Ovis aries: one gene and its partner. The protein of the gene in region 1 interacts with the protein of each later gene in a biochemical or structural test. Links are inferred from orthologs where the notes say so. Each region holds a gene or a part of one and is shown in the gene's direction. Other genes may lie near its edges.

What was found.
Region 2: the proteins of KIT (region 1) and YES1 form a complex in vitro, tested with the Homo sapiens proteins (2 studies listed by BioGRID and IntAct, with this or other methods). The link is inferred for Ovis aries from reciprocal best matches to the Homo sapiens genes KIT and YES1.

The regions. Positions count from the first base shown.
Region 1 is NC_056059.1:70,940,966-70,946,056, forward strand, and holds part of KIT (mast/stem cell growth factor receptor Kit), read left to right. Parts: intron 1-2,727; coding exon 2,728-2,839; intron 2,840-2,938; coding exon 2,939-3,038; intron 3,039-3,385; coding exon 3,386-3,491; intron 3,492-4,585; coding exon 4,586-4,714; 3' UTR 4,715-5,091. UniProt on the Homo sapiens protein: Tyrosine-protein kinase that acts as a cell-surface receptor for the cytokine KITLG/SCF and plays an essential role in the regulation of cell survival and proliferation, hematopoiesis, stem cell maintenance, gametogenesis, mast cell development, migration and function, and in melanogenesis.
Region 2 is NC_056076.1:36,065,509-36,071,060, reverse strand, and holds part of YES1 (tyrosine-protein kinase Yes), read left to right. Parts: intron 1-3,886; 5' UTR 3,887-3,994; coding exon 3,995-4,259; intron 4,260-5,552. UniProt on the Homo sapiens protein: Non-receptor protein tyrosine kinase that is involved in the regulation of cell growth and survival, apoptosis, cell-cell adhesion, cytoskeleton remodeling, and differentiation.

The DNA.
Region 1 (5,091 bases):
ATTATAGGGCATGTGAAGGAAACAGAAATAGCCTTAATTTTCATTATAGCTTGAGAATAGCAATGAACTCGATTTTGTTCAAGTGAAACAAATGGGGACCTGAAGGTCACAGCAGGAGAATTTTATTTTGAGATTGACAGGCTATGTGAAAAAGATTAAAATCTAAGATAATGTTCAGAGTTAGGTATATAGAATCTTGGATCTTATAATCAAGAGAGCTTATTAAAGACGTTCTTAAGGAATAATTGGCTTATGGGACATAGTGATTTTATTTCAAAGTGCTTTATTTCATTGCCAATTTTCATTGTATCGACAGGGCAACCCCTTGGCATTAGAATGCAGCGTCTTCACATTTTAAAAGTTGGGGAAACTAAAAGCACAGTGTATTTTAGTGATATTTATCTGAGATGACACGGATCAGTAGAGGCTGAAACCAGAGCCTATGATTCCCAGAGCAATATCCCATTAGTATGGGAAGCCAGTAGTCCTGAACGTATATTTTTCTCCATCTATTTTCCCAGGCTCATATCTCCAGTCCAGAGCTATTCCTAGAGGTAGCTATTTGTGTGCCTACACATAATGTAATATTTCCTTCTCCATCACTAAGGCGTCTCTGTGGGTGGGCTGTACTAGACTTGGTTTTTGTAGAAATGTTGCTGGGTTTACTTTCTGATGACAGTATGTGTTTCTATAATAATAACTCGCTAAGGCTAGGAGTGTTAATAACACCAAGTCCCCACCATCCTGGTGCACTACTAGAGGGAAGAATGAAAGGTGGTTCTCTATCCAGGCCTTTGAATATTGACAAAAGGCTAATGGGTTCCGGGCCCAGTCTTGCGGAGTTCGAACCTGGTTCTATCATTTAGTGAGTGTGTTGTATTTGGTAAAGATGACCCCAGCACCTCTGATTTCTTTTATTAATAGATCCCAAGTTAAGAGCCCCTATAAGAACTTTAGCATAAAATCTGGGAGGGGATACTAGAAAGCATTCTTATTTTTTTCCTACTGACTAAAATAACTTTAAGACCAGAAAAAAATTGTCTTCCCAGTTTTGGGTCCTAAATGGATTATGGGAAGGGTTGATTTAGCTTTCTGTGGTAAATTAAGATCCAAGAATCCAGAAATGTCTCTAAGAGGAATAGTCACAGAAAGTTTGGCTCGATGTTAGCGGAAGGAGTTCAGGATGTGAAGTTCAACTGTTGAATTTAAAACTCTGAATCTGCCACTCACCACCTTGGAATAGTCATAGTCAGCATAAGCCACTGCTGTCTTTATCAAGTGGTTGGTTATACAGGGCAATTTTCCAGATCCTAGTGAATCAGCCATACCGAACTAAGCACTGGTACCCACATTATCTCATTTAATCCACAAGACAACTCATGGAATTTGAGGTTTGATTTTTGCTTTACAGAAGAATATCCTGAGGCTTCTATTACAGATGTATGTGATGTTCCCAGTGTGTTAGTAAGGGATAACTGTGGCTGTATTTGACAGAACACCCAAAAGGAAAGTAAAATAAGTATAGGAGTTGCAGGCCAGGCCTGGTATGGAGGTTCTGTACCAGGGAACAAATTCCTCAACCTTTCCATTTTATACCATCCCTGGTGTGGGCCTTAGCTTCATGGTCCAAGACGGCCTCAAGAAAGCCAGCCAACATATCCAGAAGACAAGACAGTGGAGGAGGAGACAAGAAGGAAAAGGCCACAGGACACATGCCAACTTCATATTAAGGAAGTTTTCCAAAAGCTGTCATACAATACTTAGTGGCCAAAACCAAGCCACATGGCTGCACACAGCTATGAAGGAGCTGGGCAATGTAGTCCTTACCCTGGGAAGCCACATTTCTATTAAAGGATAAGAGTAACTACCCTTCTTTGGTAACTAACCTCTGTGTTACACAAGGCCAGTGGTGGAGCCCAGGTTAGAACCCAAGTATCTGTCTCTGACAACTATGTTCCTAACCACCAGGCTGTACAGACTCAGTGACCCCCATGTTGAAAATGAAGATAGTACTGGGGCTTCCCTAGTGGCTCAGACAGTAAAGAATCTGCCTGCAGTACAGGAGACCAAGGTTTGATCCTGGGTTGGGAGCATCCCCTGGAGAAGGAAGTGGCAACCCACTCCAGAAGACAATATTACAGTTGACCATTGCACAAGGCAGCGGTGAATCTCAGTATAAATGAAAGCCAGAACTCCATATCCATGGTTCCTCCACGTCCTTGGATTCGACCAAGCATGGATCATGTAGCATTTATTATTGAAAAATATTCTTGTATAAATGGACCCATGCAGTTCAGACCCTCATTGTTCAGGGGTCAGCTGTACTCGTGATCCACATATTTCAGAGGTAGTCAGAAAAAAAGTAAAAAATCATAATTCACAAGAGTTCCCTGCTGGTCCCCTGGTTAGGATTCTGGGCTTTCACTGACAAGGCCTGGGTTCAGCCCCTGGTCAGGGCACTGAGGTCCTGCCCACTGCTTGGCATGTATACCCCACTCCACCCCACAAAAGTAAAACCACCCCAAACTAAAAAAATCACACATAACATAATTCTCAGACGTAATCAGGGTCCTCTGAGGTCATATGGGTAGAAGGTCTTTGTGAGGTGCCCATCAAGTTCTCACCCCACCTCTCTATAGGAATATTTTCTATTCAGTTTTTGATTTTTTTTGATTTGTTAATCACAATGTGATTAACATTGTTGGATCTTCCATGCTTCCATTGCAGGCTCGACTCCCTGTGAAGTGGATGGCACCGGAGAGTATTTTCAACTGTGTGTACACATTTGAAAGTGATGTCTGGTCCTATGGGATTTTTCTGTGGGAGCTGTTCTCTTTAGGTAAAGTGAGCCTTGCCAAAGGCACCTTAATCACACTCAGAGCTACCAGTGCTCTCCTTGCTTACTGTCATGCTGATTTGCAAACTGTTTGTGCCTCAGGAAGCAGCCCCTACCCTGGAATGCCAGTCGATTCTAAGTTCTACAAGATGATCAAGGAAGGTTTCCGAATGCTCAGCCCCGAGCATGCACCTGCGGAAATGTAAGGGCCCAGATGTCCTTCCTTCAGATAACGTTTCCTCTTTTGTTTTCCTTTTTTAAAGACAGAAACCCGTATGTTGAGGGTTTTCACTAAGCATAGCTTGAAATGTCATTTGGTTCCTTGTAATGACATCCTGGGCAAATGTTATTTCTGTCGCTGAGTTTCATAAAACTCACTACCAAATAAAGTTTTGGCGGAGTCTCAGTACACACAGTTTTATTTTATACCCATGTCATTCAGTATGTCCAGTTGTGTAACCCTGGAATTAAGTTTGAAATTGTTGAATGGCATATATCTGCTGATCAGTTAAGGGCATTGCAGAGTGATAATTGGCCCTGGTCTTGCAGGTATGACATCATGAAGACCTGCTGGGATGCAGATCCCTTGAAAAGGCCAACATTTAAGCAGATTGTGCAGCTGATTGAGAAGCAGATCTCAGAGAGCACCAATCATGTGAGTATACTCTAGCCAGGCATAGGACCTCCATTTTCTCGGTTCCAAAGCATGTCCTCCTCCTCAGGTTCTGGGGGTGAGGACTAAGCTACCCACCCTTTCTCTCCTTCACTTAGGCTATAAATTGAGTGGGAAAGTGACGCAATGGAAACAAGTTCTTTTTGCCTAGCCCCCTACTCTGAGCCAAGGGATATGAGATGAAGAGGGGAAAGAGTAGAGGGCTTGACGCTCAGAAGTGTGGGCATAGAAGTTTCCATAACGATTTGCCACTTTTCCTTCTTCACCCCAAGTGTTGGTCATGGGAGTTTGCATCTTTTCTGTCTCACATGTCAGGCCATTCAGCCTTTGGAGGGTTGCGGTAGGGCACGTAGAAAAAACAGCTTGTTCCCTGCAGTAAAATAAACCTTCTGCTCAAGTAAGTATAACCACAATATAGCAGATAGCTTTCATGGCCGCAAACCGTAGAGAATGAAGAGTTGCTTGAAGTTGAGGGATCCCTCCCAGTGATTTGAGAAGCGGGGAGTTCAAAACTCAAATTCATGATTTCTTTTGCTTTTAAGGAAGAATGAGTGATCCTTACTTCGACTCAGATTTTTTTTTAACCTGCTTTTTTCTTCTGGATTGTGCGTGGAGCTATCTTTTCTTAAGATTATACCATTGATACTTTCAGGTTGAAGTTCGCTCTTCTGGGTGTCAAAGCACATTTCAAATTAGACAGCGTTTCACACCCAAGTGCCTGGTTCTCAATGGAAGAACCACCAATTTCTTAGTAAGTGACATCAGCCATTAGATGGGAATTGGCTATAGAAATTTATGCACCTTTTAAAAAAAGTTAGGTCGTTCTCATTCCTAGATGCATCCCAGCAGAAAAGCACATTTTGGACTATCACTTCTTATGTAATCAGACCATGGGAAAATGAGGGATAAAACAAAGCTTATCCTTGGTCAGTGTGGTTCAGTTCTTGGCTGTAAGGTCTTGTCAACCTCCTGGCTGTAAGAATCTTCCTAAGTTATTTGCAGTTCCTAAGCTGCACATGTGCCCCTTTGTTCCTTGTGGGGGACTGGCGTATTGACTGTGGATTTATTTTCCTCAGATTTATTCCAACTTAGCAAACTGCAGCCCCCACCGGGAGAACCCCGCGGTGGACCATTCTGTGCGCATCAACTCTGTGGGCAGCAGCGCCTCCTCCACGCAGCCTCTGCTTGTCCACGAAGATGTCTGAAGCAGAGTCTGCATCCAGGGGTCTCCTGAACAACCCCGGCCCCCCTCTCTTTTGGTTTTTACAATGGTTCCTTTGTTTTCCTTCGACTCGAATCCTACTCAAGGGTAGTGGACACCCTGTCTTTATGAGCACCCTTTAGTGGCCGATGATTTTTGTCATCAGCTACCATCGAGCTGCCTATGTTCCTAATAGCACACTAGCCCCTGCTAACGAGGAAACTTCAGACTTGGAGAAAGGGTGGGTGGGATGGACTGGACACACTGAGTCCTTCCCAAGGTTTCTCCAACTTCTATCCGAAAAATGTAGTTGATAGTTTTGAGTACATAGCAGTAGTCACCTTCATTCCTCATAATCACCCATGATGGTATGATGATGCA
Region 2 (5,552 bases), on another chromosome or scaffold:
TGGGTGAGTTTTATTATCTCCAAAAGGTGTAATAACACTGTGAAAATATTTTCATTTACTTTTTCTCTGGTTTCTGCCTCATTGTGAGTTTTAGATTTTATTATCAGTTCCCCACTCGATTTTGCAACATCATTCCCAGCAGGCCCCTAAAACTAACTTCTGAAACTGAACATGTTGGTCCAGAAAAACCTGTTTCTCTTTTCTCAACCTCCGTTATGGTGTTGCTTTCCGTTCAGTTCAAACTAGAAACTTTGGAGTCATCCAGCCCTTTAGCACACAATTAGTCAATACTTTTAAAGTGTCCAATAAATTGTAGGGAGTGCATGCTGCTGCTGCTGCTGCTAAGTCGCTGCAGTCGTGTCTGACTCTGTGCGACCCCATACGGCAGCCCACTAGGCTCCCCTGTCCCTGGGATTCTCCAGGCAAGAACACTGGAGTGGGTTGCCATGGCCTTCTCCAATGCGTGAAAGTGAAGTCGCTCAGTCGTGTCCGACTCTTCACGACCCCATGGACTGCAGCCCGCCAGGCTCCTCCACCCATGGGATTTTTCCAGGCAAGAGTACTGGAGTGGGGTGCCATTAAATGACTCCTTTTTCTTCACATCCACCCATAACGAGCCACTCATCTAAACTTGATTATTGTGTTTAGTGTTTGCCTCTCATCTCCCCCTCACCTTTGGCCCCACAGTATTCCTGCTTGTGTACTTCCTCACATGGATCTTTGCAATAGTTTTATGACTTGACTAACTGCCATCATTATTTCTTTCCAGTCTATAACTCGTGCTTCCACCATAGTTATTCTCAAACACATATTTTCTGCTCTTCAGCTTTTTAAGGATCTCAACTTTCCAGTACTCCCTGGATAAATCTAAAAGTTACTTCTTAGCAAATAACCCTCTGTGTGTGTAAATTCTCCTCTAACTAGCTGCCTGTCCCACCATTCTCAAAAACATGCCCTTATATTTCTGCCACAGTTTTCTGTTCCCTGATACACCTTGCTTTTCCAAACGTTAGAGCCATTCTTCACACTTCTTTCCTTCTAGAATATTATTTCCTAAATCTCCAGCCCTTCAAAACTAGCTCAGTGCCACTGTCTGCAGAATTTTCTTTCCCAGGCTCCCAGCAGAGCTGATAACTTTGGTGGTATTCCCAGCATGTTCGTATATACCTCTGCTCTGGCATTTTTTGTTTTCACTCTGGCAGTTTTCCCACTGTGCGTGCATACATGCCTGCTAATTCACTTCAGGCGTGTCCAGCTCTTTGGAACCCTGTGGACTAGAGCCTGCCAGGCTCCTCTGTCCATGGGCTTCTCCAGGCAAGAATCCTGGAATGGATTACCATGCCCTCCTCCAGGGTTTTCACATTGTACAATACTATGATTTTTCTTATACTTACTTGTGACCTTTTTAAGGAAAAAGAACCATTTCTTGGCATCTTTGGCTCCCTTTAGAGTGTCTAATAAATATGTTATTAATAAATAATATATCTGTAAGCTAGTAGCTTGGAACCTGAAAGAGGCTTTCACTTATAAGTATTTTAAATCATGTTATGTTTCTAAGAGAATCCATTAAAATCTTTTAAATACATTTTACACCTGAAGATTACTTAAAAAATAGAAGTCACATTCCACATTTATAATTGTTTTTCTGCAGGAGCCAGCAGTGATGGCTCCTGTATATTTGTGACTAGTTGGACCAAAGATTCTGGATTAAGAAAAAGAAACTGGAGGACAGGTTAAGCGAAGTAATGGAAAACTGGAAGGGTGGGGGCGGAGGGGGAGCTAGAACTTACAGAGGAAGAGTTAAGTTAGGAGTGATGTCTTATGGGGAGAAAAGACCGTAACAGGAATCCTGAGTGAAGAAGGTGAAAATGAGAAACTAAGAAAGCTGGAAATGGAAATAAGGGTGGGTCAGGGATACAGTAACTTTGGTTATGAAGTGATATATTTCAATTGGTCTGTTATCCAATTTAAAGTAAGTTAGCACCCATTGTGGCTTTCATAATTTTTTCTCCATCATACAACTGCTGTTTTTTCAAAGTCTATGTCATTATTAAAATATTTTCTTAATATTTAGACTTCAGATATTGGTAATAGTGAAAATTCTCTGTACAGATGTTAAAATATTTTTTGTAACTTAATGTATTTTGTGGGTATATATTGATGGTTAAAATTCATGCCTCAGCCTTGAGTATTGAGTCAAAATTTGCCAGTCTGATAGCAAAAAGTATACCTTTAGAGATTTGCATTTATTTGAAGATTGGGGTGATTGGACATGTCTTCATACGCTAATTGGCCTTTCATGTTTCATTTGTGAATTGCCTCTTGATAGGCATTCAGATTTTTCTAAGGGGCTATGTGTATTTTCTCATGTGTAAGAGTTGTCTGTATTGTGTGAATGTGTGAAAGTTGCTCAGTTGTGTCCGATTCTTTGCAACCCCTGGACTGACTATATATATAGTCCATGGAATTCTCCAGGCCAGAATATTGGAGTGGGTAGCCGTTCCCTTCTCCAGGAGATTTTCCCAACCCAGGGATCAAACCCAGGTCTCCCACATTGCAGGCGGATTCTTTTCCAGTTGAGCCACAAGGGAAGCCCTTGTCTATATTAAGAACCTCAACTAATTCTTATATGGTACATTCATGTGTTGAGAGAGCAAGTAAGAGCATGAGCAAGTACAGAGACATTTTCCCTACTTCTCATGTCTTTAGTTTCACTTAAAAGTTTCTATGCCCATACCTGCCCCCCACCCGCAAGTTAATCATATATCTCTTCGTCTTTTCCTTTAGGGTTTCTAGAAACTTTCACATTATGCTTTAAAAAGGCTTTTCTTTTCCAACTACCGCATTATGAACCAACCTACCTTACATTCCTTCTGACGCTTTCAGACGCAACTGCCTTTCATATATTTAGCTTGTCATTGTCTCATAGTGTTTTCAGTAGATACTTAGGCTTCCAGTCCCAGTCATGTTCCTATACTGCGCTTTATTGTCACATCTTCTGAATATACCGGTTTTAAGATAGTGATCTAAAGACATTCCAGCTCTGAGATCTGAGACTGTTTCTGTTTTATGCATAAGATAAGTGAGGAAATGATAGGAGGTAAAGTGGGAAAGATAGACTGGAATCAGATTTGGCAAGCATTGAGGGCGTGTCCATCACTAGGGAAAAGATACAGCACTGCATTGTCCAGTGGAGTAGCCACTAGCCACATACAGCTGTTGAGCACTTGAGATGTGCTTGGTCCAAACTGAGGTGTACTGTGAGTTTAAAATACGCATCAGATTTCTACAATTTAGTACAAAAGAAGAGTATAAAAATCTCACTAACATTGTTCATACTGATGACATGTTGAAATATATATTACTAGAATTAATTTGATCTGTTATTTTTTAAATGTGTTTACTGGAAAATCTAAAATTATAGATAGGAAAAAATAAAATTATGGCTCAGATTCTGTTTCTGTTACACAGAGCTGGTATAGGTAGAAGGAAAAATGCCAGAATTTGCTAGTGCCTGCTGTGTACCAGAGATAGTCTAGAAGTTGTGATAAATAAACTTACTTCTCATGGAAAACCTTATGAAGTAGGTGATATTGTTTTCTTTTTTCAAGGAACTGAGGTTGCAGCGAAGTTAAACAACATACCTAAAATCACTCCACTAGAAAGTAGGAAGCCAGGATTCAGACTTTGGCTCCTGACTTCAGAGCCCATGGTTTTCCCAGTACCCTGTGGCATGTTGTCATTGAGCCATAAAGGTGATTGAGCTGGAGAATGACATGATTAGAATGATATGTTAGCAGAACTGTAATAAAAATAAATGAGGAGAGACTTTATTTTTAGCTGCCTAGGGTTTTTTGGTTTATTTGTTGTTGTTTCTTTTTTGCAGGAGAGAAATGCCTGGTTTAAAGGCAGCTGCTAAAGTATACCTCTTCTGAAGCATCCTTTATGATAACTGCTTCTCACACTTTGCCTTATCACCTTGGTAGGCTTGATAATGGGCTGCATTAAAAGTAAAGAGAACAAAAGTCCATCCATTAAATATAGACCAGAAAGCACACCAGAGCCCGTCGGTACAGGAGTCGGCCACCACGGAGCAGAGCACGCTGTGGTGGCACCAACATCCTCCGCAAAGAGCACATCTGCCAGCTTCAGCAGCCTCTCCCTGACTCCATTCGGAGGGCCCTCGGTGGTGACACCCTTTGGGGGAGCATCTTCCTCATTTTCAGTGGCACCAGGTTCATATCCTGCTGGTTTAACAGGTGAGCTTTAGATGGACAGTCTGTTTGTTTGAGAATGTGACCTTGGGCAATAGAGACATCAAGTTGGTGTTCTGTAAGAGAAGTAAGTTAAGAGGCGGTACGGGGGGTAGGGGTGGGGTGCTTAAGTTCATGTGAAAATTAAAAATCTCCAACATACAAAGTAAACTCTACGTGGATATTATTCTCAGAAATTTGACAGTAATCTGATGGTGATTGTGTACTGGTTTATACCATTAATTGGGCTTCCCTGGTGGCTCAGATGGTAATGAATCTACCTGCAATGTGGGAGACCCAGGTTTGATCCCTGAGTCAGGAAGATCCCTTGGAGAAGGTCATGGCAACCCACTCCAGTATTCTTGCCTGGAGAATACCATGGACAGAGGAGCCTGGCAGGCTACAGTCCATGAGATCGCAGATTCGGATATGACTGAGTGACTGGCACACACTGTTACCATTAATCACTTCACTAATTCATTTTTCAAATAATTACTGGGTGCTGACTGTGTGGCAGGCATTGGGAATATAAAGATTAAAAATGTATCCCCCTCCCTCTAGAATGCTACCAACTTCTGAGGATTATAAAGTGCTGGCCATTATTAAAGTATTATAGTAGTTATTTAATGTGTTAGGTAAAGGCAGTTTCGTGATCATAGTACAGTTCTGTTAGGTACTGCTGATTGAAAAAAAAAAATCCTGAGGCTCACAGCTTAAGTGATTTTTTTTTTTCCAGTCACAGATGATAAGCAGGAGGACACATATTTAATGCCCTTTTCTAAAACTTTGTTTATTACACTGCAGTGTCTTCAGAGAACAGTCAGAAGTGATGGCCAACAGCCTTTCATGGAGCCAGAAATGCTCTAAAAAAAAGATAGTCAGAAACTTTAAAAAGAGAAGTAGTCCTTCTGTGAAGGGTCCCCTACCAGGTTGCTTTTCCCTTGAGTAACAAACAAAAGTGCAACTGACTTGTAAAGGTAGGGGAGGTTCTAGGATTCCTTGAACCAGTAGTTTTTTCATGTCATCAAGGACTTGAGTTTCTTTGGTCTCTCCCTTTTGCGGCCCTTGGAGTATGCTCTTTATCCTTAGACTTGGGGAAACAGCTGCCAGCATCAAACTGAGCAACTTTTGGGGAGAAAAGAAGAATCTCTTCTACAAGCTTGGTCTATAAATGTGTCCCTTACCTCTGCTCACCTCCAAGACAAAAATAGTGACCAGAGAATATCAGACACTCATCTATAGACTGTTCACTTGAGGAGTTGTGGACATCAGAGAGCCAGTTAGAGTCCCAACTTCGGC